7 linked regions of the Kluyveromyces lactis genome follow. The protein of the gene in region 1 interacts with the protein of each later gene in a pairwise test. Links are inferred from orthologs where the notes say so. Each region holds a gene or a part of one and is shown in the gene's direction. Other genes may lie near its edges. The genes, in order: NOC2, BRX1, RRP5, ERB1, RLP7, DRS1 and NOP12.

The links.
Region 2: the proteins of NOC2 (region 1) and BRX1 interact in binary tests that used the Saccharomyces cerevisiae proteins (3 or more experiments, as listed by UniProt). The link is inferred for Kluyveromyces lactis from reciprocal best matches to the Saccharomyces cerevisiae genes NOC2 and BRX1.
Region 3: the proteins of NOC2 (region 1) and RRP5 interact in binary tests that used the Saccharomyces cerevisiae proteins (3 or more experiments, as listed by UniProt). The link is inferred for Kluyveromyces lactis from reciprocal best matches to the Saccharomyces cerevisiae genes NOC2 and RRP5.
Region 4: the proteins of NOC2 (region 1) and ERB1 interact in binary tests that used the Saccharomyces cerevisiae proteins (3 or more experiments, as listed by UniProt). The link is inferred for Kluyveromyces lactis from reciprocal best matches to the Saccharomyces cerevisiae genes NOC2 and ERB1.
Region 5: the proteins of NOC2 (region 1) and RLP7 interact in binary tests that used the Saccharomyces cerevisiae proteins (3 or more experiments, as listed by UniProt). The link is inferred for Kluyveromyces lactis from reciprocal best matches to the Saccharomyces cerevisiae genes NOC2 and RLP7.
Region 6: the proteins of NOC2 (region 1) and DRS1 interact in binary tests that used the Saccharomyces cerevisiae proteins (3 or more experiments, as listed by UniProt). The link is inferred for Kluyveromyces lactis from reciprocal best matches to the Saccharomyces cerevisiae genes NOC2 and DRS1.
Region 7: the proteins of NOC2 (region 1) and NOP12 interact in binary tests that used the Saccharomyces cerevisiae proteins (3 or more experiments, as listed by UniProt). The link is inferred for Kluyveromyces lactis from reciprocal best matches to the Saccharomyces cerevisiae genes NOC2 and NOP12.

The regions. Positions count from the first base shown.
Region 1 is NC_006042.1:102,265-106,157, reverse strand, and holds NOC2 (mRNA-binding ribosome synthesis protein NOC2), read left to right. Parts: upstream 1-1,254; coding exon 1,255-3,393; downstream 3,394-3,893. Other genes in the region: GEP3 (Gep3p), read right to left, coding at 1-989; MEI5 (Mei5p), read left to right, coding at 3,659-3,893. UniProt on the Saccharomyces cerevisiae protein: Involved in the intranuclear transport of ribosomal precursors.
Region 2 is NC_006041.1:1,577,239-1,580,130, forward strand, and holds BRX1 (ribosome biogenesis protein BRX1), read left to right. Parts: upstream 1-1,495; coding exon 1,496-2,392; downstream 2,393-2,892. Other genes in the region: MDM20 (Mdm20p), read right to left, coding at 1-883. UniProt on the Saccharomyces cerevisiae protein: Required for biogenesis of the 60S ribosomal subunit.
Region 3 is NC_006038.1:728,454-732,649, forward strand, and holds the start of RRP5 (Rrp5p), read left to right. Parts: upstream 1-1,396; coding exon 1,397-4,196. Other genes in the region: YPK9 (putative acid anhydride hydrolase), read right to left, coding at 1-230.
Region 4 is NC_006042.1:2,460,413-2,464,675, forward strand, and holds ERB1 (ribosome biogenesis protein ERB1), read left to right. Parts: upstream 1-1,463; coding exon 1,464-3,839; downstream 3,840-4,263. Other genes in the region: KLLA0_F26587g (L-methionine (R)-S-oxide reductase), read left to right, coding at 1-260; CSM3 (Csm3p), read right to left, coding at 3,966-4,263.
Region 5 is NC_006040.1:418,075-420,891, forward strand, and holds RLP7 (Rlp7p), read left to right. Parts: upstream 1-1,360; coding exon 1,361-2,317; downstream 2,318-2,817. UniProt on the Saccharomyces cerevisiae protein: Involved in the biogenesis of the 60S ribosomal subunit. May act as a specificity factor that binds precursor rRNAs and tethers the enzymes that carry out the early 5' to 3' exonucleolytic reactions that generate the mature rRNAs.
Region 6 is NC_006042.1:1,453,292-1,457,481, forward strand, and holds DRS1 (putative ATP-dependent RNA helicase), read left to right. Parts: upstream 1-1,443; coding exon 1,444-3,690; downstream 3,691-4,190. Other genes in the region: CYR1 (adenylate cyclase), read left to right, coding at 1-160; SYS1 (Sys1p), read right to left, coding at 291-884; LMO1 (Lmo1p), read right to left, coding at 3,796-4,190. UniProt on the Saccharomyces cerevisiae protein: ATP-binding RNA helicase involved in ribosome assembly.
Region 7 is NC_006042.1:734,389-737,419, reverse strand, and holds NOP12 (rRNA-processing protein NOP12), read left to right. Parts: upstream 1-1,142; coding exon 1,143-2,531; downstream 2,532-3,031. Other genes in the region: Rpd3L histone deacetylase complex subunit DEP1, read right to left, coding at 1-366; SYN8 (syntaxin), read left to right, coding at 2,885-3,031.

The DNA.
Region 1 (3,893 bases):
GTAAAGTTGGGAATATGTGATACTCCACCTTCATTGAAGATGGCCCTACGGCGAGTACTTTGTATTTGTTCGTGGCCTTTTGGAGGACCAATAACGTTGCCTCTCTTATCAAGTTGAGCTTGGAAACTTGTTGATTTTTCATGGAGCAAAGAATTAATGAGAGACGTTTTCCCAACGTTAGGATTACCCAATAAATAGCATCTTTTAGCCAAAGCATTTATCACTGATGGAATATTCCAATTTCTTGGGTTAGAGAACAATACTACTTTCTTAACATGTACGCCTATATGACGTCTACAAAATTCCGCAAAAAAAGCACTCCCTTTATGTGGTAGCATTGATGACTTGTATGTGATCTGATCAGCCTTTGAAAGTAGTAAATAGTTTCTATTATTCTTTTCTGCCAGGATAGTTTTGTCTAATGACAAGGGAAAGTCAGACAAAGACACAACGTGGTATACGTTTGCAGCATGCGGCAAAGCGCCCTTTATATCGTTGAAAGAATGAATTGGAAAATCAGATGAGTTGTACCTGTTATGACTTATAGCATCGACACATCTTTTACAAACCAATCTTTTGGGAATAGGTTCTTTATAATCTGGATCGGTGTCTGGATCAAGTAGCCCGATTTCATGTTTTTTTAGCTGAAGTTCTTGTGTGAACATTAAATACTTCAAATCTTCAATGGTGCCAGCATCTTTCCTGACAGCGCGAGGAGGCTTATAGTAGCCTGTCACAGAAGGATTCTTGGATTGCAACTCAACACCACAGCTTTTGCATGATACAAACCGAGTAAACTGCTTAAAAGCTTGGAGCCGTGATTTCATAAAAGGTAATACTACTACTATTTTCTGATGCATATACCTCAGTACTCTTATCAATAACGGCTCAAAACTGTTGCATCTCTCGACATTCTGTTTGCAGTTTGTTGCATCTTTTGTCGATACCTTTCCAAGCATGTCAATTACCATATTACTTGCACTATTCATCGATGTCAAGGCGATGCCATTACCCGGATACAAAAAGAAACGCCATGAAAAGTTTTCCAAATATCCAAACCAAAATTCAATCCGATGAGATGAGATGAGATGAGATGAGATGAGATGCCCCAAGAAGAGATATAGAGAAACTTTAACGCAGCTCTAACAACTTAACCAGTAGTCGCTCTAGATAATCTTCTTGAAATCATATTGTTGATCAAAGGCATAATCTTGGGACCTGTTACCTATTGATAAAGGGATCAAGAATTACACAATGGGTAAAGTTTCAAAAGCTACTAAAAAGTTTCAGACGAAACACTTGAAGCATACGTTGGACCATAGAAAGAAGTTAAAAGATCATTCTAAGAGAACCGCCGGTCGTAGGGGTAATAAGACAGAAGAAGAAAAGAATGCAGCTGCGTTGACCAAAGAAGATCAAAAGTTGAAGAAGTCCGCTAAGGAAGAAGTCTTCAACGACATGAAGGTTGAAGAGTTCTTCGACAATGGGTTCGATATTCCAAAAATGTCAAAGAAAATGGCTAAAGAAACCGAAAAAGCATCAAAGGTGAAAGATAATGATTCAGAGTCTTCTGCCGAAGAAGATGAAGATGTTAAAATGGATATGGAAGATTTGGCAAAGAAGGATCCTGATTTCTACAAATATTTGGCAGAGAACGAACCAGATCTTTTGTCTTTCAAATCTACCAATCCTCTAGATGAAATATCAGATGACGAAGAAGGGCAAGTGGGTGAAGAAGAAGAACTGAAAGAACCTGATTTATCAAAGTCCAAGAAGGAGGAAAAAGATAGCAAAATTGCCGTCGACATAAAGCTCGTAAATAAATGGAAGAAGGATTTAAAAAATAGCCCATCTTTCAAAACTATCAGAAGTGTGGTTTCAGCTTTTAAAGCTGCTGTGAACATGAACAACGAGGAAAATGTAGACGATTACAAGTTCACAGTTCTTGATGAAAAAGCCTTCCACGAGTTAATGTTCGTTGCCCTTGTGGATATGCCAAAAGCCGTCCAAAAATTGACACCTTATAGGGTCAGTAAGAATGAAACCAGAACTCTCCCATCAAATAAAAATGTTACAAAATTGTCCTCTGTTTTGAAATCGCACGTTCCATCTCTTATCGTTCTCCTAAGTGACATCACAAACACAGACGTCGCTTCAATGATTTTGCATTCTACCTATGAGCTATTACCATACTTTATTTCATTTAGAAGATTACTAAAAGAATTAATTTCTCAAGTCGTCGAAGTTTGGTCCACTACTGGAGACGTTGAAACTCAAATTGCCACATTCGCGTTTTTGAACAATGCCTCTCGTGAATATAAGAAAGCTTTATTAGAAGTTGTATTGAAGTCCACGTATTCTACTTTCATTAAAAGTTGTCGTAAAACTAACATCAGAAACATGCCTCTAATCAATTTCCAAAAGAACTCTGCTGCTGAACTTTTCGGTATTGATGACGTTATAAGTTATCAATCGGGTTTCGAATATATCAGACAACTAGCCATTCACTTGAGAAACAGTATCAATGCCACAACTAAGAGGTCCTCAAAGGTGGACCCATCAAGTGCTTACAAGATTGTATATAACTGGCAGTTCTGTCACTCTTTGGACTTCTGGTCTCGTGTTATATCCATCCAATGTAACCCAGAAAAGGAAAACGGCCACGAATCCCCTCTTAGACAATTGATTTACCCACTAGTCCAAGTTACCATTGGTGTCATTAGATTGATTCCAACAGCACAATTTTTCCCATTGAGATTTTATTTGATCAGATCCTTGATCAGATTATCTCAAAACACTGGTATCTTCATTCCAGTTTACCCATTATTATCTGAGATTCTCTCCTCTACTGCATTCACAAAGAAACCTAGAAAGTCAACGTTACCTGCATTTGACTTTGATCATAACATCAAGTGTACACAAGCATACTTGGGGACAAAAATATACCAAGACGGGCTAGCTGAGCAATTTGTAGATTTGCTAGGTGAGTACTTTGTTCTATACTCCAGAAGCGTTTCATTCCCAGAATTAACAACGCTTGCCGTTATCTCATTACGTCGTTATATCAAGAATTCTGAGAATGTAAAGTTTAACAAGATGTTGCAAAACGTGGTAGATAAAATCAACCAAAACGCTCAATTCATTACAAAGAAGAGATCAGATGTAGACTTCGGACCAAACAACAGAACAGAAGTAGAAAAATTCTTAAATGAAATATCGTGGAAAGATACTCCTCTTGGTTCCTGGGTTGCTATCCAAAATGAGGTTAAGGAAGAAAAGGCCAGACTCTTAAGAGAATCCTTGGAATCTGACGATGATGAAGAAGAAGAAAATATTTCTGACGGAGCCCAAGACATAGTAATGGATGATGCTGAATCTGAAGCAGATGAATAATCAAATGATTGTATGATAAGTTCAAACTTTCTTCAATTTTAAATTCATTGGTAATCCTATGTCTTCGACCATCTTATATTGGATTGCCTCCTTGTCAAAGACATCGGCGGTAAATTTCATGAAAATAGAAATTACATTATGTAAATTATTTTAAACATGTATACTCAACATTACATTCAGAATACAAAGCTCGGGAGTACAATCTGCGGTAGGCATAACTTGACCAAGTGGAATAATTCTTATACCAGTACTCATTACAGGCGTTATGTCGAATGTCATGAATTTTGAAGGTGATAGTGAAACAACCTTAGTTCAAGAGAATGATTCATTTAGTGATATCTTGCCCAAGTTATCTTGCAGAAACCCTGAAGAAAGATCTACGGGTAGTGTGTTACTTTTAAAGGAGATCCGGAGGTTAGAGAACGATCTTGATCGACAAATACGAGATCTTACGAAGAAAGAGTTTGCTTTGAAAAGGGCAGTGAAAATAATGCAAACTT
Region 2 (2,892 bases), on another chromosome or scaffold:
CGACTCTTGCTAGTATGTAATTTCTCGTATTCTTGATTTCCAAAACTTCCAATAACTCATCGAATGACTTGCCAAGTTTGTAACTTGCATCTATAATCTTTTGCAAAATACCATAATCGTCAAGGTTATTCAATAACGAGATTCCATGTTTCCAAATGAGTTTATAATCGTCTAATTTCACCAAATGGCCCATAAGGAAGTTTTTCAAATAAAGGTCTAAGTAAGTACCATGTTTCCAAAACTTGAGGATCTCGTCCACGATCTCCTGTGATTTATCCTCAAACAATTCACAAACTTTACAGAAAACGATCAACTCTTGCTCATTCTCAAAAGGTTTCAAATCGCTTGTCAATTTATATGTCAACTTAGGTAAAAGATCCAATTCCCTTTCGTTAATGTTATCTTTATCCAACTGAAACCATACTACAGTAGCAATACTGTTCCAGAATTGGAACAATCTCGATTTCGATTTTTCATTGACTCGTGGCATCTGGAAACTACTCTTACTCAAATGTCTCCAATTTAAATCCCTCAATGACTCCAAGAACCAATCATAACATGTCTCCGAATTACCGTATTTCATCATTGCTCTTTCATAAGGTTCCAATGCACTGGTGGTGTCAAAACCTAATTCCAACAAAAATCGATGGCACATTGATAGCGATTTCGCATCGCTTGGAGGAGATTTGGCATCCAAGATCAACTTTAACCCATTTTCAAAACTATATTTCGCAGGAGATTGCCTGTACTTGACATATTGCTCTAACACTTTGTAATAAGTGGCGGATGGGTACCGTTTCTGCAATGATGCAACAAACTGTGAAGCTTTCTTAAACAGTTCCCTATCTAATAGCTGAAAAAGCTGATGATCTTCAGAGTTCATATCAACAGTTTCCACTCTTCGTGTTGGTCGATATCAAATCTAACAGATCAAACAGCAACGAACACCGTTACTGCCAGACATACCGGGTTGTTCTACGAACGACGTGCGTATGAGGTTGTTCATTAGAAGTTTGAATGCTGAATTAAGCCAATATCGTAATTTTTCAGTCTTGATTACCCGGATAATAAACTATAACTGTATGTGTATCCATAAATGTAAACGGCACAGCCTAACAAGGGCATCAGCGCTCTTACTGCTTGAAATATAAACGCAAGACCTCACCATACAATCCCCACCCGCGTTGAATCTGATAGAAGCCAGTTGGCAGACGATACGAACATTTTCTTTTCGAGAAACTATCCTTTTCTATTTTAAATCATCACTGATGAGCCTTAGTTTCTTTTTCGGTACATTGAAAATTTTTGAAAAGTTAGAAAAGGCGATGAGATGAGATGAGATGAGATGAGATGAGATGAGAAGAGGTATTGAACAAGGTTGTCCTGATCCTTCCAATCTATACATCGTCGGTCTAAACACTTTGAGATTATTGTATTACACTTGAGTAGTTGGAAGGAAGAAAAAGCCAAGAACTGCTAAGCAAATCCTTCTATAATGTCGAGTATTTTCAAGACTTTGTCTCGTAAGGATAAAGACGGTAAGAAGAACAAAAATAATGCGGCTAACAGTGACAGTAATGAGAAACAGTTCATGAATAAGCAACGTACCTTACTTATTACGTCCAGAGGTGTTACTTATAGACATCGTCATTTGGTTCAGGATTTGAACAGTCTTCTACCACATTCGAGAAAGGAACCTAAGTTGGACACGAAGAAGGATCTAGGACAATTGAATGAGATTGCGGAATTGTACAACTGTAATAACATTATATTCTTTGAAGCTAGAAAGCACCAGGATTTGTACCTATGGCTATCAAAGCCACCAAATGGACCAACAATCAAGTTTTATTTGCAGAACCTACATACCATGGACGAATTAAACTTCACTGGCAACTGTTTGAAGGGATCCAGACCAATATTGTCATTTGATGGTAGATTTGATTCTGAACCGCACTACCGTTTAATTAAAGAACTTTTTATCCATAACTTCGGTGTACCACCTCAAGCTAGAAAGTCCAAGCCATTCATTGACCATATCATGTCTTTCAGTATAGTTGACGAAAAGATCTGGGTAAGAACGTATGAGATCTCGCATGAAGCTAGGAACAACGTTGAATATGAGGATAAAGAAGAAGATGAAACGTCGTTAGTTGAAATTGGCCCACGTTTCGTGATGACACCGATTTTGATCCTTGAAGGTTCATTTGGTGGTCCAAAGATCTACGAAAACAGACAATACGTATCGCCAAACTTCGTTAGATCTCAAATTAAACAACAGGCTGCCAAGGAAGCTAAGACCAGAGCCGAAGCTGCTGTTGAAAGGAAACTAAAGAAGAGAGAAAGTGTCTTGGCTGTAGATCCATTATCCAACGATGCATTGTTCAAAGATTAAAGTACAATCCAGAACTCTAGAAAAAATCATGATTTATATATTGTCAACTTAGGAGAACGGCGTTCTTCCTGCTCAGACTTGTACATATGTATACTCCTATATATATGCTTTTGAATGGGCTGTTTTTGATAATATAATTTTTCGTTTTATTCCTAACTATACTATACGTTAAAGTCGTACATGAATATTTAATTTATTTAGTTAACTTGGGGGGCCAGAATACCAGTTAAACTTGAAGCGTCATGAAACGTCATGGGGAAAACGTTTTTACATTTGGTGTGAACCACAGTGTGCTGTTTGAAATGTTTTTTTTATCATTTGTTTGAATTTTAATAGATTTATTAATATTTTACTTGCCCAATGCCATTGCATTCTTCTATTCCCCAAATACGAAGATGTTATGCGTAGTAATAACAAATCATACTGTATAATTTTCAGGAAACGTGAATTGAACAGTCAAGTGGGTAGAATTAATAAGGAAGTAAAAATGTCCTGACTTT
Region 3 (4,196 bases), on another chromosome or scaffold:
GCACCATAACCACTAGATTGGAATGAATGTGGATGATAGAAAGATACGATAGAACTTGGTACAGTCTCTACAGCAGCACCAGAATATGGTTCTGTGTTGTTTTGTTCCAAGATTGCTGATGAAGTAGTTGTATTAGCGCTGGATCCCGTCCTTGTCGAAGAAAAGGACGGTCTTGCTGATTTATTCGCACTATGGGGTATTCCTGTAAATCTGCTGTCGAATGATGACATTGAGTCCCTCTTCAAAGGTGCGTTGGTCGACCTTATCTATTGATAGAATCCACTCCATATTACTTTTTAAAGGTTTCTGATATATATGAGAATGTAGGTTGATAAATTGAAGATAATTGATTTAATGAAATTTCATACCAAGACACATAATACATAAGGAAGGATAGGAGAAAAGGCAGGCCAATGATACCTCACGTTACAATGTGGAACTTTACTGTGTTGATAAAACTCTCGTAGTTCGATAGATATATAGACTGCCCCTGAAAATGGATCGAAAGGAGCCAGAAACAGCTTTAGACTGTAATATGATGGTGCTTTTATGCCTTATAATAAATATTTCCGGCTGTGAAAGTACCTTTAGAAATGAAATTGAACAAAAAAGAGAAAAAACATATAGTCTGATCTGAAACTATTACCATAGAAGGCATTCCACTCGTAATTGCACAAATTTTTCTTAGCATGACCAACAAAACTCTTATCACTCCCCTAGAACCTTTTAGTTACATGGTTTCCACCATTACAGATATGTAATTATTATACCTCTTTAAGAAGATAGAATAACTGGCTAACAAAAGCCCTTAATAGTTAAGAAGTATGTCATGCATTCAAAAGACCCTAATCCGTGGATACGGTTCAAACAAACTCCAGTGATAACAACGGAAGATCTGTACAACGTTCCATTATTAAACTGTCACTGCATCAAAGGCGCGATTACATTTCGTCTATGTCGTTTTGATTTCTTTTTTTTAATATTGAAAATTTTCAAAAATCGATGCGATGAGATGAGATGAGATGAGATGAGCTTTAGCTACTTAAGTGCTGGATCATTTGTATTGGTATGCTAACACATTTCTGAGCTTTGTTGATTCTAGAAACCAAGTGCAACTTTCTTAATTCTGGTAAAGATAAGTCTGGTTTACTTTCTCAAACAGGAAACAGTTTGGTATAACATATTTTGTATCTTTCTCTGAATTCTTTTTGCTTTGTGCTTTCTATTGGCTTTATTGGTTTCTATCTTCACAGAAGACAAAAACAACAACAACTTGGGAACAGGAGCTTCAATAGTTTGCAAGACACTTCAAGAAAAACATAGGTTTACATCTAAATTGCTAGGTGTAATTTGTTTTGAAAACAGGCATATCTAAATACCGAAAAAGATCACAAACATGGTTGCTCCACAAAGTAAAAGAAAGAGAGACGATGAGTCTCCTTTAGTAAGACAGGATGCTACCGAAGCACCAGCCAAATCTGCATTGAGTAAATCCGAGGAAATCTCATTTCCAAGAGGTGGTTCTTCTGCTTTATCCCCATTGGAAGTTAAGCAGGTTGGTAACGAAGTGGTTGCTGATGTTTTATTTGGCAAGGATGAATCAGCTACTGGTGCAGAGGGCCCAACGAAGAAGAAAAAGAAGAATGCTAAGAATAATTTTGATCAAATTACCACAGGTGATGATGAAGAAAAAGAGGACAAGACTGATTTAATTGAGCATTTTGGAATGAAACAAATGACCAAAGGGACCATTGTCTTGGGTCAAATCCAATCGATCAGCAAACATGAACTGAAAATATCTTTGGTGGACGGTTTGCATGGTTACGTCTCATTAACAGATATCTCTGAACAAATGACCAAGATTTTGGAAAATTTGGACGAATCCATGGAAAGCGATGATGAAAAAAATGAGGACTCAGAATACGATTCTTCAGATGATGAAAGCGACATAACAACTCCTAAAGAATTACCTGATCTCAATAAATATTTCAAAATAGGCCAATGGTTGAGGTGCATGGTACAAAATAACAGCGCTTTAGAATCAAACAAGAACAAAAAGTTAGACTTATCCATCGAACCCTCTGTAGTAAACGTGTTTGAAGATGATGATTTAGCTAAAAACTGTCCACTACAGTGTTCGTTGAAAAGTATAGAAGATCACGGTGCCATTCTTGATATCGGTATTGAGAACTTAACAGGTTTTATCTCAAAGAAGGATATACCTGAATTCAGTTCTTTGTTACCAGGTATGGTGTTCTTAGCTACAGTGACGAAAAGATCTGGTAGAACTGTAAATGTCAACTTGGATTTGGCCAGTAAAAACACCAAGGTCGAAAAGATCTCTTCCATAGATGCCATCGTGCCGGGTCAATCGATTGACTTTTTACCTCAAACTATCACAAATCACGGTGTTATCGGTAAAGCCTTCGGTCTAATAACTGCATTTTTGCCATTGCCACATTCCAATTTCTTTACGGTAGAGGATTTGAAGCATCACTACTCCATTGGTGACTTAGTCAATGCTAGAATTTTGGCAACCACTATAGTGAAAAGCGGCGATAAAGTTGCTGTCGTTTCCACACAACCTCATATCATCTCATTGCATCCAAAATTACAGGAGACCGAAGCGTTAGAATCTTTCCCCGTTGGCTATATCTTCGATTCTTGCACAGTTAAAGGCAGGGATAGTCAATTTTTCTACGTATCAATCAACAATGAACAGGTGGGACAAATTCATTTGTCAAAGGCAGGAGAAACTGAACCAACGGGAACTGTGAAAGCAAGAATACTCGGCTATAACAATGTAGATAAACTTTACACATTGACGTCTGATCCAGCCTTACTTGATGTCAAATACCTAAGATCGTCCGATATTCCAGCAGGCGAAGTTTTGAGCGCTTGTGAGATTGTCACAGTGTCAGGAAAAGGTATTGAATTAAAAATTTTCAATGATCAATTTAAGGCATTTGTTCCTCCCTTACACATATCTGATACCAGACTTGTGTATCCTGAAAGAAAATTCAAAATTGGTTCAAAGGTTAAAGGTAGAGTTCTCAATGTCGATTCTGTGGGCCGTGTCACTGTGACATTGAAAAAGTCTATTGTAAATGCAGACGAAGAATCTGTGACGTTAGTCTGCAAAAATGATGATATTCAGACTGTTGAAAGTCAAGAATTGAAAACAATTGGTACTGTTGAAATATTCAAGCCTAATGGTTGTGTTATCTCGTTCTTTAATAATATCAAAGCTTTCGTTCCAAACAAAGAAATTTCAGAAGCATTTGTAAAGAAACCACAAGAACACTTAAGACTAGGACAAAGTGTTTTGGTTAAAATTTTGAATCATGACTTCGAAAGAAACAGAATTATTGCTTCTTGTAAAATTTCAGCAGAGTCTTCTTCCAAGCAAAAGAGTGCTATTGAATCTTTAGTTGTCGGTAAATCTATCATCGATGCAATTGTTATTGAAAAGACTAAAGATTCCGTCATCGTAGAATCTAAAGATTCAGGGTTGCGCGGTGTTATTTACACCGGCCATTTGTCAGATGATAGAATTGAACAAAACAGAGCTTCGCAGAAAAAGTTAAAGATTAACTCTGAAGTTAGAGGTTTGGTTTTGGACAAGGACATCAGGACTCATGTGTTCAACATGTCCTGTAAAAAATCATTGATTAAAGATGCTGAAGACGGTACCCTTCCTTTAAGTTTTTCCGACATCAAAAATAAAGACAAAACAGAACCGATGCATGGTTACGTTAAATCTGTTTCTGACCGTGGTGTTTTTGTTGCATTCAATGGTAAATTTGTCGGTTTGGTTTTACCAAGTTATGCAGCAGAAACCAGAGATATTGATATTCATAAGAAATACTACATCAATCAATCCGTGACCGTGTATTTATTGAGAACAGATGAGGAACATGAAAGATTTTTATTGACTATTTTAAAACAAAAGACCGATGTTAAGAAGATCAATTCATCTGTAATTAACCCAGTCGACAAGTCTATCAAAGATTTGTCGGACTTCACTATCGGTAAGGTTACAAAGGCTACAATTACATCAGTTAAGAAGAACCAGCTTAACGTTACGTTGGCTGATAATGTACATGGTCGTATCAGTATTTCTGAAGTTTTCGACAGTTTCGAAGATATCAAAGAACAAAAGGCACCATTAAGTGTGTACAAGAAAAATGATTCAC
Region 4 (4,263 bases), about 2.4 Mb from region 1:
TGATTCAATTTGGTAAAGGAGTGTGTGGTACTGCTGCGTCTAGTCAACAAACTCAATTAGTACCAGATGTTGAAAACTTCCCAGGGCATATAGCATGTGATGGGGAGACAAAGAGTGAAATTGTGGTTCCTATAGTCCAAAATGGCGAAACAGTAGGTGTTATCGATATTGACTGTTTGGACTACAACGGGTTTACTAAGCTTGACCAAGAATTTCTAGAAAAATTGGCCGCTTCAGTTTCAAAGACATGCGTATTCTAACTCATTAAGTAGTTACACTCGTTAATTATATTCTCTCAATTGATATCACAACTCTTGACCGTATATGAAGTTGCCTGTTATTGCATACCTAACATAGGGCATGCTGCCCCAGGTCCAGTGGAACAGAAGTTTTCTAGTTTTCAATGAAAAAAATGATTTCGCCCAGGATCGAACTGGGGACGTTCTGCGTGTTAAGCAGATGCCATAACCGACTAGACCACGAAACCATCTTGTGAGGTCTGTCGTAATATAGACTGAAGACAAGCCAGACGAGAGGTCATGTGAGCTAGCCAGCACACGGCAGAGTTCCAAGACGTCAGTGACTGGGCATATGGATCCTGTGGTATCCAGAAGGGATGGCCTAGATGGATCATAGACGGTCACGTGATGGTCTTGAGTGCGCGTGGAGGACGGTAGCTGCAGAGGACCTACAAGGGCATGGAGGCAATGAGTTGCCATGACGAAGTCTGACGACCATCCGAGTATATAAGTCGAGTATAAAAGGCTGAGCTATGTTGCGACCTCTTGGGGAGGTTGGACGCATATACTCAACGATCTAACTAAATAGATTATTATATTATATTCGTTATATTGTTTGATATCAACGATCCCTCATCAGGCGATTAATCAATCAACTATCATCCAAGGCATATCACAACAAGATCTGAGAGAACTACATGAGTATATGTTACATCGTTAAGAGTTTCTGAAGAAACGAAATAGGTCTCTCTTATCAGCGCCCCAAATTGGAATAATGAAGTTTACTGGAAATAGCTTCTTCAATGATGAAATTACAAACTTGAAAACGATGTTGCATCTACTAGAATAAAACTAAGATAACTGTCTATGATGCAAAAAAAATAAGAGTTAAGAATTACATTCATTGTAGGCTAGCGACCAAAGTAAATATCTTCAACGTAAGTAGAAGTATATGTGGAGTTGATTGAATACCAGTTCCCTATCTTTGCTGAAGGGTACTTTGACTTTTTCAAAATAGCATTCTTGTTCAAAACTTTGTAGAAGTAATTAATGTATCGTAATTTTCTTTCTTTTTGTTTCTTAAAATTTTCAATTTTCATCTTGAGAGATGAGATGAGATGAGCTGAAGTGAATAGACCACAGAGATAACCAGTACTTCTCAAAGTTAACGGCATCAGAAGAAGCTCTGAAAGTATAGAGAGCCAGAAAACAATACCAGAAACTATGGCCAGAAAGAATTCTTCTTTGAATGGTTCTGAATCAGCGGAGCTTGTTGTAAAAAAGAGAGTTCTCGAGGAATCTGAATTGTCCGATTCTGAAGATGAAAGAATTGAAGTTGATGGTTTAATCGATGAAGAGGCTAGCGAAAATGAAGCTGAGGAAGCTGAAGATGACGACTCTGATGCTGAATTCAATCGCTTATTAGCTGAAGAAGAAAATGGACAGGAGGAGGAGTATAATACTTCAGATTTTTCTGAAGAAGGCGATGCTTTTTCCATTACCGACAAATTGTCAAATGTAAAGTTAACAGTGATTCCAGAAACAAGCGATGAAGGCATTGTTCGTACCAAGTATTCAGATGGAAGACCAAGAATTCTTAAGTCAGAAATTAATCCTGTTTATGATAGTGATGATAGTGATGCAGAAGCTAAGAACACAATTGGTAACATCCCACTATCTGCATATGATGAAATGCCACATATTGGTTATGACATTAATGGTAAGAGAATAATGAGACCAGCCAAAGGATCTGCTTTAGATCAATTATTGGAATCTATAGAATTGCCAGAGGGTTGGACAGGTTTACTAGACAAAGACAGCGGTGCCTCTTTGAATTTGACCGAAGAAGAACTTGAATTAATCAATAAGTTGCAAAATAATCAACAGACGGACGAATCTGTGAATCCATACGAACCTTTAATCGACTGGTTCACTAGACACGAATCTGTAATGCCAGTTACGGCCGTCCCAGAACCGAAAAGACGTTTCGTTCCGTCAAAGCACGAAGCCAAGCGTGTGATGAAAATAGTCAAAGCAATCAGAGAAGGTAGAATTATCCCACCAAAGAAACTAAAGGAATTAAGAGAAAAAGAAGAACAAGACAGTCATAACTACGATCTCTGGGGAGATGCCGAAGAAATCTCTGAACATGTTATGAACTTGAGAGCCCCAAAATTGCCACCACCAACAAATGAGGAGTCTTACAACCCTCCGGAAGAGTATCTTTTGACCCCAGAGGAAATTGATGCATGGGAAAAGATGGAACCAAGTGAAAGAGAGAGAAATTTTGTGCCTCACAAATTCGCTGCATTAAGAAAAGTTCCAGGTTACTCTGAATCTGTCAGAGAAAGGTTTGAAAGATCATTAGATTTGTATTTAGCGCCTCGTGTTCGCAAAAATAAGTTGAACATTGATCCTGAATCTTTGATCCCAGAATTGCCCTCTACAAAAGATTTGAGACCATTTCCAATCCGTTGCTCTACCGTTTATGTCGGTCATAAAGGAAAAATTCGTACAATGTCCATTGATCCAACTGGATTATGGTTGGCTACTGGTTCCGATGATGGCACTGTCAGAGTATGGGAAATTCTTACAGGTAGAGAAGTTTACCAAGTCACAATACTTAATGCGGAAGAAAACAATGATGACCACATAGACGTTGTTGAATGGAATCCCGACAGTACTACCGGTATCCTTGCGGTTACTGCTGGCGAAAACATCTTCTTGCTTGTTCCACCAATTTTCGGCTTTGAAATTGAAAACACAGGTAAATCAAAGATTGAATACGGTTTTGGTTTCGATACTTTCGGAAACGTCAAAAAGAGTAATCTCAATGTGAATAGCGATGATGAGGATGACGGTGCTGAATCACATGCTGTCAAGAAACAGGTTGCTCAATGGAATAAACCAACCGAAAGGCAAGCTGCCAATGATATTTGTATCGTAATAACTTGTCGTAAATCAGTGAAAAAGCTTTCATGGCATAGAAAAGGTGATTACTTTGTCACTGTTCAACCAGACTCAGGTAATACATCAGTTTTGATTCATCAATTATCCAAGCATTTAACTCAATCGCCATTCAAAAAATCTAAGGGTATCATTATGGATGCAAAATTCCATCCATTCAAGCCACAGCTCTTGGTCTGTTCTCAAAGATACGTCAGAATTTATGACCTATCGCAACAAGTGCTAATCAAGAAACTTCTACCTGGTGCTCGTTGGTTATCTACTATTGATATTCACCCAAGAGGTGATAACTTAATTGCATCCTCGTTTGACAAGAGAGTGTTGTGGCATGATCTTGACCTTGCAAGCACTCCATATAAGACCTTGAGATACCATGAGAAGGCTGTAAGAAGCGTAAGTTTCCACAAGAAACTACCACTGTTTTGCTCAGCTGCGGATGATGGTAACATCCATGTTTTCCATGCCACGGTCTATGACGATTTAATGAAGAACCCTATGATCGTCCCGTTGAAGAAACTAACCGGCCACAAGATTGTGAATAGTTTAGGTGTTCTAGATACTATATGGCATCCACGTGAAGCTTGGCTATTCTCTGCAGGTGCCGACAAAACCGCTCGTTTGTGGACTACCTGATAGAACCCTCATGACGGGATATTTGTAAAACACTGTATACTATGGACATCATTACCTATCAATATTACAAGTAGATACTTTCTAATTAGTGTTCAAGGGAATACATTATTATCTTTGGATCAGAGCTCAAAAGGTATCCATGTCTCTCATCATTGCCATTTCCTCATCTGATGCGATATCATTACCGTTATTTGTTGTGCTGGCAACGGTCGTAATTTTACTCAATTCGTCTAACTCTTCAGCGTTAGGCAGAGCGTAGCCATTTTGTGTATGTTGCCGTATGTTTGTATCAGTGGTGGACAACATTTCATTCGTGTGCCGCTGGTGATGCGAAGAATATAGAACATCATCATCATCATCATCATCATCATCATCGTCATAGTTGCCGTCATTATTCTGATTTTTGTCTTTGTCTAGGCTGATA
Region 5 (2,817 bases), on another chromosome or scaffold:
AGAAAAAAAAAAGGAATTTCGAAGCTCAAAGCATTCAAAGAGTCAGATTACAATTAAGAATCAAGAAAGTCGACTTTTGGGTTCAGCGCGGGTCCTGCAATGTTCATTCTGATAACCACTACTCGATTTTCATGCCGGTTTTTTTATCGTACTTGTCGTTTTGATAGAAAAGAAAAACATAAGACACTCGAAGTGATTTTTATTCCTTCGAGCGTGGACTTAGTCAGCCCGTAGTGGAAGTACATTTCCTACTGTTCACGCTGTAGCTCAACAAACGGCACAGTGTATTTACTATCTTCCTAGAATCACGTGAGCGAAGGGAAAAATATAACTTAAGAGTAGCATAATTCCAGTGCTGTCAGCGGTATCGCTCAGTGATTTGGAATTTAAATCGAGGAAAACGTCCTACAATTTAGGGACAGGCATGCGTTCACGGTTAAATCGTTCGAAATTTTTTCCGTCGTTCGAGCCGCCCCACTGGGATCTCTGTTGTAAGAAAAGACCGCCGATTTATGATAAAGGGCGGACTTTGCTCTGAGGTTCCTTCTCTGCCTTTTCAGCATTCTTCCTCTCGAGGGACCTTTTCCCATTTCTTTTTTTTCTTACTTGTTCTGTGTTGAGAACTTGAACCACAGTTGATCTCACGGTTGTTTCGAAACAGAGAGCGGCATAGATGGTACAAAGAATGGAGCCACGGCTGGTTTCGAAGGAAACACTGCTGTGGGCACACATTTCGAGACTCCTAAAGCCACCTCGAAAGCCAGTGTCAAAAGCCAAGATATAACGATTTCATGAGCTGATACGGAAAACTTTACTGCCGGTTAGAAGTGCTAGTTCCTGCAGCAGGTAGATAGGGGAAACTGCTTGAAAATTCGTCTCTGTATATACGATTCACATATAGACAGTCACAATTTGACTATTTGACTATTTAACTTGCTTCCCATTCTTTGGGTAACTTTCCGAAATGTTCCCATTTAATTCTGAAGAATCTTGCTGGGGTACACCATGCTGCAGCAACAGATCATCCCAGGTAAACGCCAACTTGCCAGTACCCTATTCGAGGTCAGCTTGTAATTGTAATTGTAATTGATCATCTACTTGTCTGAGTGTCAAACAGAAGATCTTGGTTTCACAGTTCACGTGACTGGAAGTGTTTCTTTTCGTTACAGAAAATTTTTTTGGCGAGGAAAAAAAAGTTCAGTGCGATGAGATGCGATGAGATGAAATTAAAGATTATGAATAAAGCTTTCAATGAGAGATGACCTTGGCTAATCTGAAGTATTAGGAGCATATAAGTTGTATTATATAGAGCTGGTTTGTGCTGAGATTAATAAACAGGGCAGTAATATAGAAGCAACAAATGTCACAACCATTGAACTCGAACCCAGAGGTTCTTTTAAGAAAGAGAAGAAATGCTGATCGTACTAGGTTGGAGAAGCAGGAGCTTGCCAAGAAGAGAAAGGAGCAAGAAGAGAAACAGAAACGTAGTAAGAAGAACAGATTTGTTAGAGCTGAGACGATAGTCGCCACAACTTTGGCTACTGAGAGAGAAAAGACCAGAATCAGAAGAGTCAGAGACTTAGAAAACCAAAAGGTCAAGAACGATTTGTCACATATCCCATCCGATAGGGATTTTATCTTGCGTATCTCTGAAAGAGAAGCCGGTAGTAAGGCTACATCCGAATCTGAGCTTCAAGATGTTGATGAGGAAGATGAAGAGGACGATGGGTTAATCAGGGAAAAAATCGTATACGATGGTGAGCCAAGCTTATTATTTGTTATAAGAGTGAAAGGACCCACAGCTGTGAAGATCCCAGCAAAGGCTTACAAAGTGTTATCTCTTTTGAGACTTGTTGAGTTGAACACTGGTGTTTTCATCAAACTTACCAAGGACGTGTACCCATTGTTGAAACTTGTATCACCATATATTGTTATCGGACAACCTTCACTTGCATCTATCCGTTCTTTAATCCAAAAGAGATCTAGAATAATGTGGCAAAGGCCAGAAGATAAAGAACCAAAAGAGATAATCTTGAATGACAACAATATCGTTGAAGAGAAATTAGGTGATGAAGGTGTCATTTGTATCGAGGATATCATCCATGAGATTTCGACGTTGGGCGAAAATTTCTCGAAATGTACTTTCTTCCTATTACCATTCAAATTGAACAGAGAAGTCAGTGGATTCGGTGCCATCTCCCGTTTGAATAAACTGAAAATGCGCGAACAAAACAAGAAGACTCGTCAAATTTCAAACGCTGCCACGGCTCCAGTTATCCAAGTAGATATCGACTCAATGATTTCCAAGTTGAATTGATTAACTATAAAAGGAAAATATCTGTACAATAGACATCGGGCTCCCATTGGCCCTACCCACATATGTAGAAATACATTACTCTATTCACTACTGCATTTAGTTATGTTTAACATTTGATATAGCAGACGCTACCGCCAGGCACAATATATTCCCCTTCCCTCTTGCCATTCGCTGTACTTGTGGTGGATTCCAATTCAGCGCAGTCACGTGCTAGTAATCACCGCATTTTTTTCTTTTCCTTTCAGGCTAAAACCGGTTCCGGGCCTGATCCCTGCACTCATTTTCTAACGGAAAACCTTCAGAAGCATAACTACCCATTCCAGTTTAGAGTCATGACAGGTTCAACATCAGATGCTTCATATACTTTTATATATTGAATTATATAAATATATCTATGTACTCTAAGTAAGTACATCTGCTTTAACGCATTCCTACATTTGCTTCGATTTATTTTTATTGTTGATACCTATTTGAAGAAGTAAAAAGTATCCCACACTACA
Region 6 (4,190 bases), about 1.4 Mb from region 1:
CCAGGGTGGTTTAACCATATACAAATCTGGTGATGCAATGAAACAGAAATCAATCTTCCAATTGCTGGATGACCTTCTAGCCAGAAACCAATTATACATAGAAAACAGCCATAATGACGAGAGCGAGCAACAAAGCTTCAAATCTTTTCCGGAGGAGTAGAGGACTTGATTTCTTTATTGTTACGTCGAAAATGTCTCATGGTTTCGGACCCTTTGATTAATTGTCGTGATTTCATCAAGAATAATATAACACATTTCCATTACATAAGTATATAAACATGCAAAACTTTTTATTTTTGTGCTTCTAGATCTCTAAGTTCGATGCTTTTCCCTGGAACTTGAGAAGCTGGCTGGCTGGCACTGGCAGGTGCAGAATCGTCATCCACCATACCTTCGAAAAATGTGTCTTTCAACTCTCTCCACCTGGTAATCCAAGTCCCAAGGAAAATCAATATCAGTGTAGACAAAAATTGCAAGATAAACCATGCTAGTGAAGGGAATAGCCCTGTGTGTGTCCATACTACTACTAGATTTATAGCATGGATTGTAATGGCAAAATCCCACGCGAGTTTACTCCTTCCCACTATGATGGTCAAAAAAAAGACACAAATCAAGGAATCAATTAACCAAAGGGCTGATAAAGAAATACCAAAAGAGTTTGAGAAATCAATGTCCTGCCATGTAAACAACCATTGCTTTAGCTTTATTTCGTACCCACATATTTTCGCCCAGCAATAAAACAAAGTTGATGCAGTGAGATAATAGAACATTTGCAAGAGTATAATCTGAACGATTATTTTACCAGGGGACTGAGACTCTTGTTTGAAGATTTCAGTGGGTAATAGTTCTCTCGGAACACGCATGTATCGTCTAAGCGAAGCCATCTCCCTGATTGGTTGAAATGTCTCTAATCGGTCGCCTTTCTAAAACTGCACTTGGTACAGTTCAATTCTATCAAATATAACTGGTGCGAACAACCAAAAGAATTCACCGAATATTATAGGAGGAATGCAATAAGTAACGAAAGAGGACTAACTACTCAATTCTGTCTTTATTTTCAAGTCTCTCAAATCATGTCTCAATCACAACTCATCTTGGATTTAATATGTTGCTTAGAGATTCCGAACTAGTTTCCATGTTGACAACCAGTGGTTACCCTAACTTGACGATATGTTTTTCCTCAAAAGAAATTTTCCATGTTCAAGCTTTTCACATCTGGAATGGCGATGAGATGAGCTTGAGATGAGCTACGACAACTAGAATAACTTAGCAGTGAGTACTGTTCATTGTTCCTTATTATAACTTCTACAGGTGACATACTATTTATCTAGTGCTATTATTCTTCACTCATTTCTACTTTGCGAGAAAGAATAGAATTCTTGTTGTTCTTTGATTGAGTATTAAGGTAAGTGGAAAATAAAGAGATATACGGCATTCGTTAATATGGCTGTTAAGAAGTTTAGATCATTCGATGATTTTGTTCCTACAATTAGTGATAGCGAAGAAGATGTTCCAGATTTAGATGCTTCTGATGACGAAATGGAAAAGAAGCCAGTGAAGTCCTCAAAAACTAAGAACAAATCTAAAAAGAAGGCCAAGCAACAACAGGGATCTCACTTGGACGAAGATGTCCATGAAGATTTGAATCCAGAATTCCAATTCTCCATTGACAGCGGAGAAGTTACCACCAACTTTGCAGGCTGGGATTTCCAAGGTGATGAGAAGAGTGATGAAGTTGAGAAAAAAGATGTCGATCTAGATGGGATCATTAGAAGAAAAGGTGGTTTGATTATGATGGCTGCTACAGGCAGTGATGCCGAAGAAAGCCTATCAGAAGAGTCCGAAGAAGAACCAGAAGAAGGAGACGAACCTGGCGAGAGTGATGATGAAGATGAATTAGCTTTGGATGGGTTCGGTATGGGTGTCAAGAGAAAGGCAACAGAGGAAAATGAAGAAGATGAAGAGGATGAAGAAGAAGAGGATGACGACGAAGATGACGACAAAAAGACCGAAATGAGTCAGGCAGATTTAGGTAAGGGAAAAGACGAAGATGAAGACATTGAAGAAGACACTAAAGAAGAAATGGCTGAATTTTATGCTCCAGAAGAGGAAAGTGCGGATGCTAAAAAGATCGTTCATAAAACTTTCAACAGCTTGTCGTTATCCCGTCCTGTGTTGAAAGGGCTTGGAAGTTTAGGATACACCAGTCCTTCTCCAATTCAAAGTGCTGCTATTCCTATTGCCCTTCTTGGTAAAGATATCATTGCCGGTGCTGTTACAGGTTCTGGTAAAACAGCTGCTTTTATGATTCCTATCATCGAACGTTTGTTGTACAAACCTGCACATATTGCATCAACAAGGGTTGTTGTACTAACTCCAACCCGTGAATTGGCTATTCAAGTGGCTGATGTTGGTAAAAATATCGGTAAGTTTGTTAACGGACTAACGTTTGGTTTGGCCGTCGGTGGTTTGAATTTAAGACAACAAGAACAAGCATTGAAGACCAGACCTGATATCGTAATTGCCACACCAGGTAGATTTATCGATCATTTAAGAAATTCTGCGAGTTTCAGCGTTGATTCAGTTGAAATCTTGGTCATTGACGAAGCTGATAGAATGTTAGAAGAAGGTTTCCAAGAGGAACTACAAGAAATCATGTCTCTCATTCCAAGTAAGAGACAAACTCTGTTGTTTTCTGCTACAATGAACTCAAAAATTAAGCAATTAATCTCGCTATCTCTAAAGAAGCCTGTTAGGATTATGATTGATCCTCCAAAACAAGCAGCAGATAAATTGACACAGGAGTTCATCCGTATACGTAAAAGAGATCATCTCAAACCGGCATTATTATATCAATTGATTAGAAAGTTGGACAATACAAGCCAGAAGAGAATAGTAGTTTTTGTTGCTAGGAAAGAAACTGCCCATAAACTGAGAATCGTCCTTGGGTTATTGGGTATGCAAGTTGGTGAATTGCATGGTTCGTTAACCCAAGAACAACGTCTACAGTCTGTTAATAACTTCAAATCCTTACAAGTACCAGTCTTAATCTGTACCGATTTAGCTTCGAGAGGTTTAGATATTCCAAAAATTGAAGTGGTTATCAATTTCGATATGCCAAAAACTTACGAAATTTACTTACACAGAGTTGGTCGTACTGCCAGAGCGGGTAGAGAAGGTCGTTCAGTAACCTTTGTAGGCGAATCATCTCAAGATAGAAGTATTGTCAGAAGTGCGATCAGATCAGTGGAAGAAAACGCTGAAAGTGGAAAGGCCTTGAGTAGAAACGTTGACTGGACACAAGTCGAGCAAGTCAACAGCTTGATTGGAGCAAAGGGTGATGTTGTAGAGGAGATTATTGAAGAAGAAAAGCAAGAGAAAGAGATACTTAGAGCTGAAATGGAACTTCGCAAAGGTGAAAACATGCTAAAACACAAGGAAGAAATCAGTGCAAGGCCAAGAAGAACCTGGTTTCAATCAGAAGCTGAGAAGAAGAACTCTAAAATGCTTCAAGTTTTGGCAAAAAACAAAAAGCCAATCAACAGTAAGAAGAGAAAACAGCAAGAAGCATTGGCTGAGAATCCTCGGCTATATAAAAAGACACAAAAAGATCGTGTCGAATATCAGGAACGTCAATACAGCAAGAAGCAAGCTGCCTACGGAAAGAAGGGAAAGAAGGGTAAGAAATAAATTACTGTCCTATGTTCTTAGTTTTGGCTTAATTATCAATGCGCATGAAAATTCATTATATACTACATAAACGCAGTTGAGGTGTTATTACATAATCATCAACTCTCATTCGTAATATATACCCATCGAGAGTTGCTTTAGAGTTTCTGGATTGTAATAAAAGTCATCCGTTTCCTCCTCTGAGAAGGATTCCAGTGACTCATCATCTCTAAATTTATCATCAAGAGCAGCAAGTTGGACGTTCCTTCTTAATTTTATTAATGTATCGATTTGTTTCTCAGTTTCTGGTGATAATTTGGCGTGTTTACTTTGTGATAATAATTGTAAACCATCCAACCAGGTGTAGAAGCTCTCTGTACTCTCCAAGTAAAATGCAGATAAAATTTTCCCGTTTCTGTCAAAGGTGGTAACTTCTCTATAAATTGTGTTCTGAAGAATATTAATCAATCTAACACCTTCAGGAAGCTTTCTATCGAGTTCAATTTGCCTACTTTGAATGT
Region 7 (3,031 bases), about 630 kb from region 1:
ATTGGATGCCATTTCCGATAGTTTGACACGTGATTCGTCCTCTTCTAAATCCATCTTTTCGGTCTCAGCGTCTGATGAGATGTATATGTCCGATAGAGAGACTGAGTTTGGATGTTCTGGAGAAGTGACCTTAGATAATCCACTGGTACTGTTATCGTCGTATTCTAATGTACCAACCTTTGAGGGACTCCCTGATTTCGATTTCCTTGAATAACTATTTGCGTTAAAATTAACAGAATCAGAATCCGAAGCAATCTTCTCTAAAACTTCTTTGGTAAGTTTCGTAGTGGGGGCAGATCTGGTATTATGATCGTCAATCTCACTCGCAGCCTCTACACTGTTATTTTTGTTTCTCTCTGGCTCCATTTGAATGATTCAAAGATAGTACCGTTTGAATTCAAAAAGAAAGAAATCCCAACGCATATAACCAATACAACCTTTGTATTACTCCAATCGGCTGATGGCAAAGAAAAAACACTTAGCTTATACTCCAATGCAGAAACACACAAAATTTAACCAGCAAACCGTTTAATATGCGCAGTATAAGTTAAGAATTGCTGCTTGAATAGATTGAAAGTTGATACCTGACACACTAAAACAAAGGGCTGCAAATATACCTTACTTCGCGTAATTCTTATTTTTACTAGCAAAACAGTTATCTCTCTCTATTCTTAGTAGTACACAATATTTTAAATCACGTTTGGATGAGATCTATGTATTGATTGCTGACTGGCCATAACTATATGTTCATGCTAAAATCAGACTGTATTTTTATTCTTAACTTATATTTCGGCATTTCAGCACTATTTACAGTTTGTACGTTTTTTAAGGAAAAGGAACATGATGTTACCCGGCCATATAGTACATTCCACGGTGTTAATCACGTGACTACGATACATTCGATTTGTCCATAGAGCGTACGCTTTTCTTCCGCATTTCTTTTTGGTGGTAAATTCATGATTTCTGCTGGCTTTTCTAGGAAGTGCAGGTTTTTCACTTTCGATAATTCAACAGACAAATGGATAAAGCTCATCGCATCGAAGAGACTTGGACAGCCACCAGCAGGTTTAGTGCAGAGGAATAACGTTTGTGTTGGTGAACCAGGGTCTTTCAAACATAACAAACCAAAATTATATTACGGGATGTCCGCATTGAACAATTTATTTGGAAATTCCAAATCAGACGCGGCAGGTACATCATCGATTGCAGCGTTATTCTCCAAACCTAATCATGTCGATGAGCGTAAAGTAAAGTCGAAAGCTAGGACTGTGCTAACTGAGCCTGAACAGGATAAGGATGAACAAGAAGAAGAGAATGTCCAGGAAAGTGCTTCTACTGTCTCCGAAGGAGTAGAGAAAGAACAGGAAGAACAGGAAGAACAGCCGAAGAAGAAAAAGAAGAAGACCAAGAAGAATGATGAAGAGAATGATAATTTGGAAGTTCAATATTATTCTAAGGTATTAGGTGATTCTAAATCTAAAGATGAACCTAAGGATGAACCTAAGGACGACTCTTCCGATAGTGATAATGAAGATGAAGCAACTGCAGTCGATAAGTCTTCGATTACCGGCACGGAATCTGAATCTGCTAAAGTTATCAATTTGAAAGAAAAGGAACTAGCCAAGGCTGAGAGAACAATTTTTATTGGGAATGTACCAAATGAGGTTATCACATCAAAGAAAGTTTACAAAGAATTTAAGAAACTTCTCTCCAAGGATCCCCGTAGCGAGAATGATGACCACGATGACGGAGAAGAAGACGAAGAAGAAGAAGAAAGTAAGACAAAAGATGTTAAGTTTAATGTGGAAAGTATCAGATTCAGATCCATTGCATTCGAAGAAGCATTGCCAAGAAAAGTTGCATTTGTTCATCAAAAGCTTCACAAATCTAGAGATTCGATCAACGCATATGCCGTATATGGGAGCTCCAATCCGGTCAAGATTATGTGCCAATATCTGAACGGTAAAGTGTTCAACGACCATCATTTGAGAGTGGATTCGGTTACACACCCCTCCCCACATGATAAGAGAAGATCAGTCTTCGTGGGTAATTTGGATTTTGAAGAAGTGGAAGAAAGTCTCTGGAAGCACTTTGAACCTTGTGGTGACATTGAATATGTTCGTATTATTCGTGATTCAAAGACGAACATGGGTAAAGGTTTCGCATACGTTCAATTTAAGGACTTCCAATCAGTGAGTAAAGCGTTACTACTACATGAAAAGAAGATCCATGAAGGTAAGAAGGCCAGAAAGCTAAGAATTTCTAGATGCAAGAATATGAGAAAGGCCCAAGGAAACCAATCTTCCCTACAAAATAATAAATTAAACGACCAACAAAGGACAAAACTGGGAAGAGCTAAGAAGGTGTTAGGTAAGGCTGATAGGGCTAAGCTAGGTGAAGAGTTGACAATTGAGGGTTTAAGAGCTTCAAAGGGAGAAACCACCCCTGTACTAAAAAGAACAAAGAACAGATCAAAGACAGGAAGAGTTACTAAGCGTTCGATAGCTTTTAAGAAACAAAATGCTCAATAATGGAGCACAACCTTAACAATTATAGTATAGTGTACATATGGATAAATAATCCAACTTTTCAATAAGACAGACACTTGTTGTATCTCCGATTTGGCTTGCAATTGGTCTTGGTGCTTCAACTGGGGAATTACTGTCAATTATTGTTCCGGGTAATCTCTTTTGTCCTATTAATTCTTTGACTATTCGATATTTTATGCTATATACCGGAGAACCTTAAATGTGATTCGTTGGCATAAGAGACAGCTCGTGTTAAAAATAAGTGGCATTTCGTAACCTAACGCAGCCAACACCTATGCGAAGCTTAATGTTAGGCGTATTATCTACAGAGAAAGAGGGACGATAGATATAAAAAAATGAATGGTTTGAAGGTCGAATATGAAATCGATAAATTAATAGAGATTGTGGATGAGAGAGACAGGTTAATGGATGTCCTTCACATGCAACCATCTAAAAATGATAACATAAAACTTAAGAAACATATAAACCATACACTTGATTTG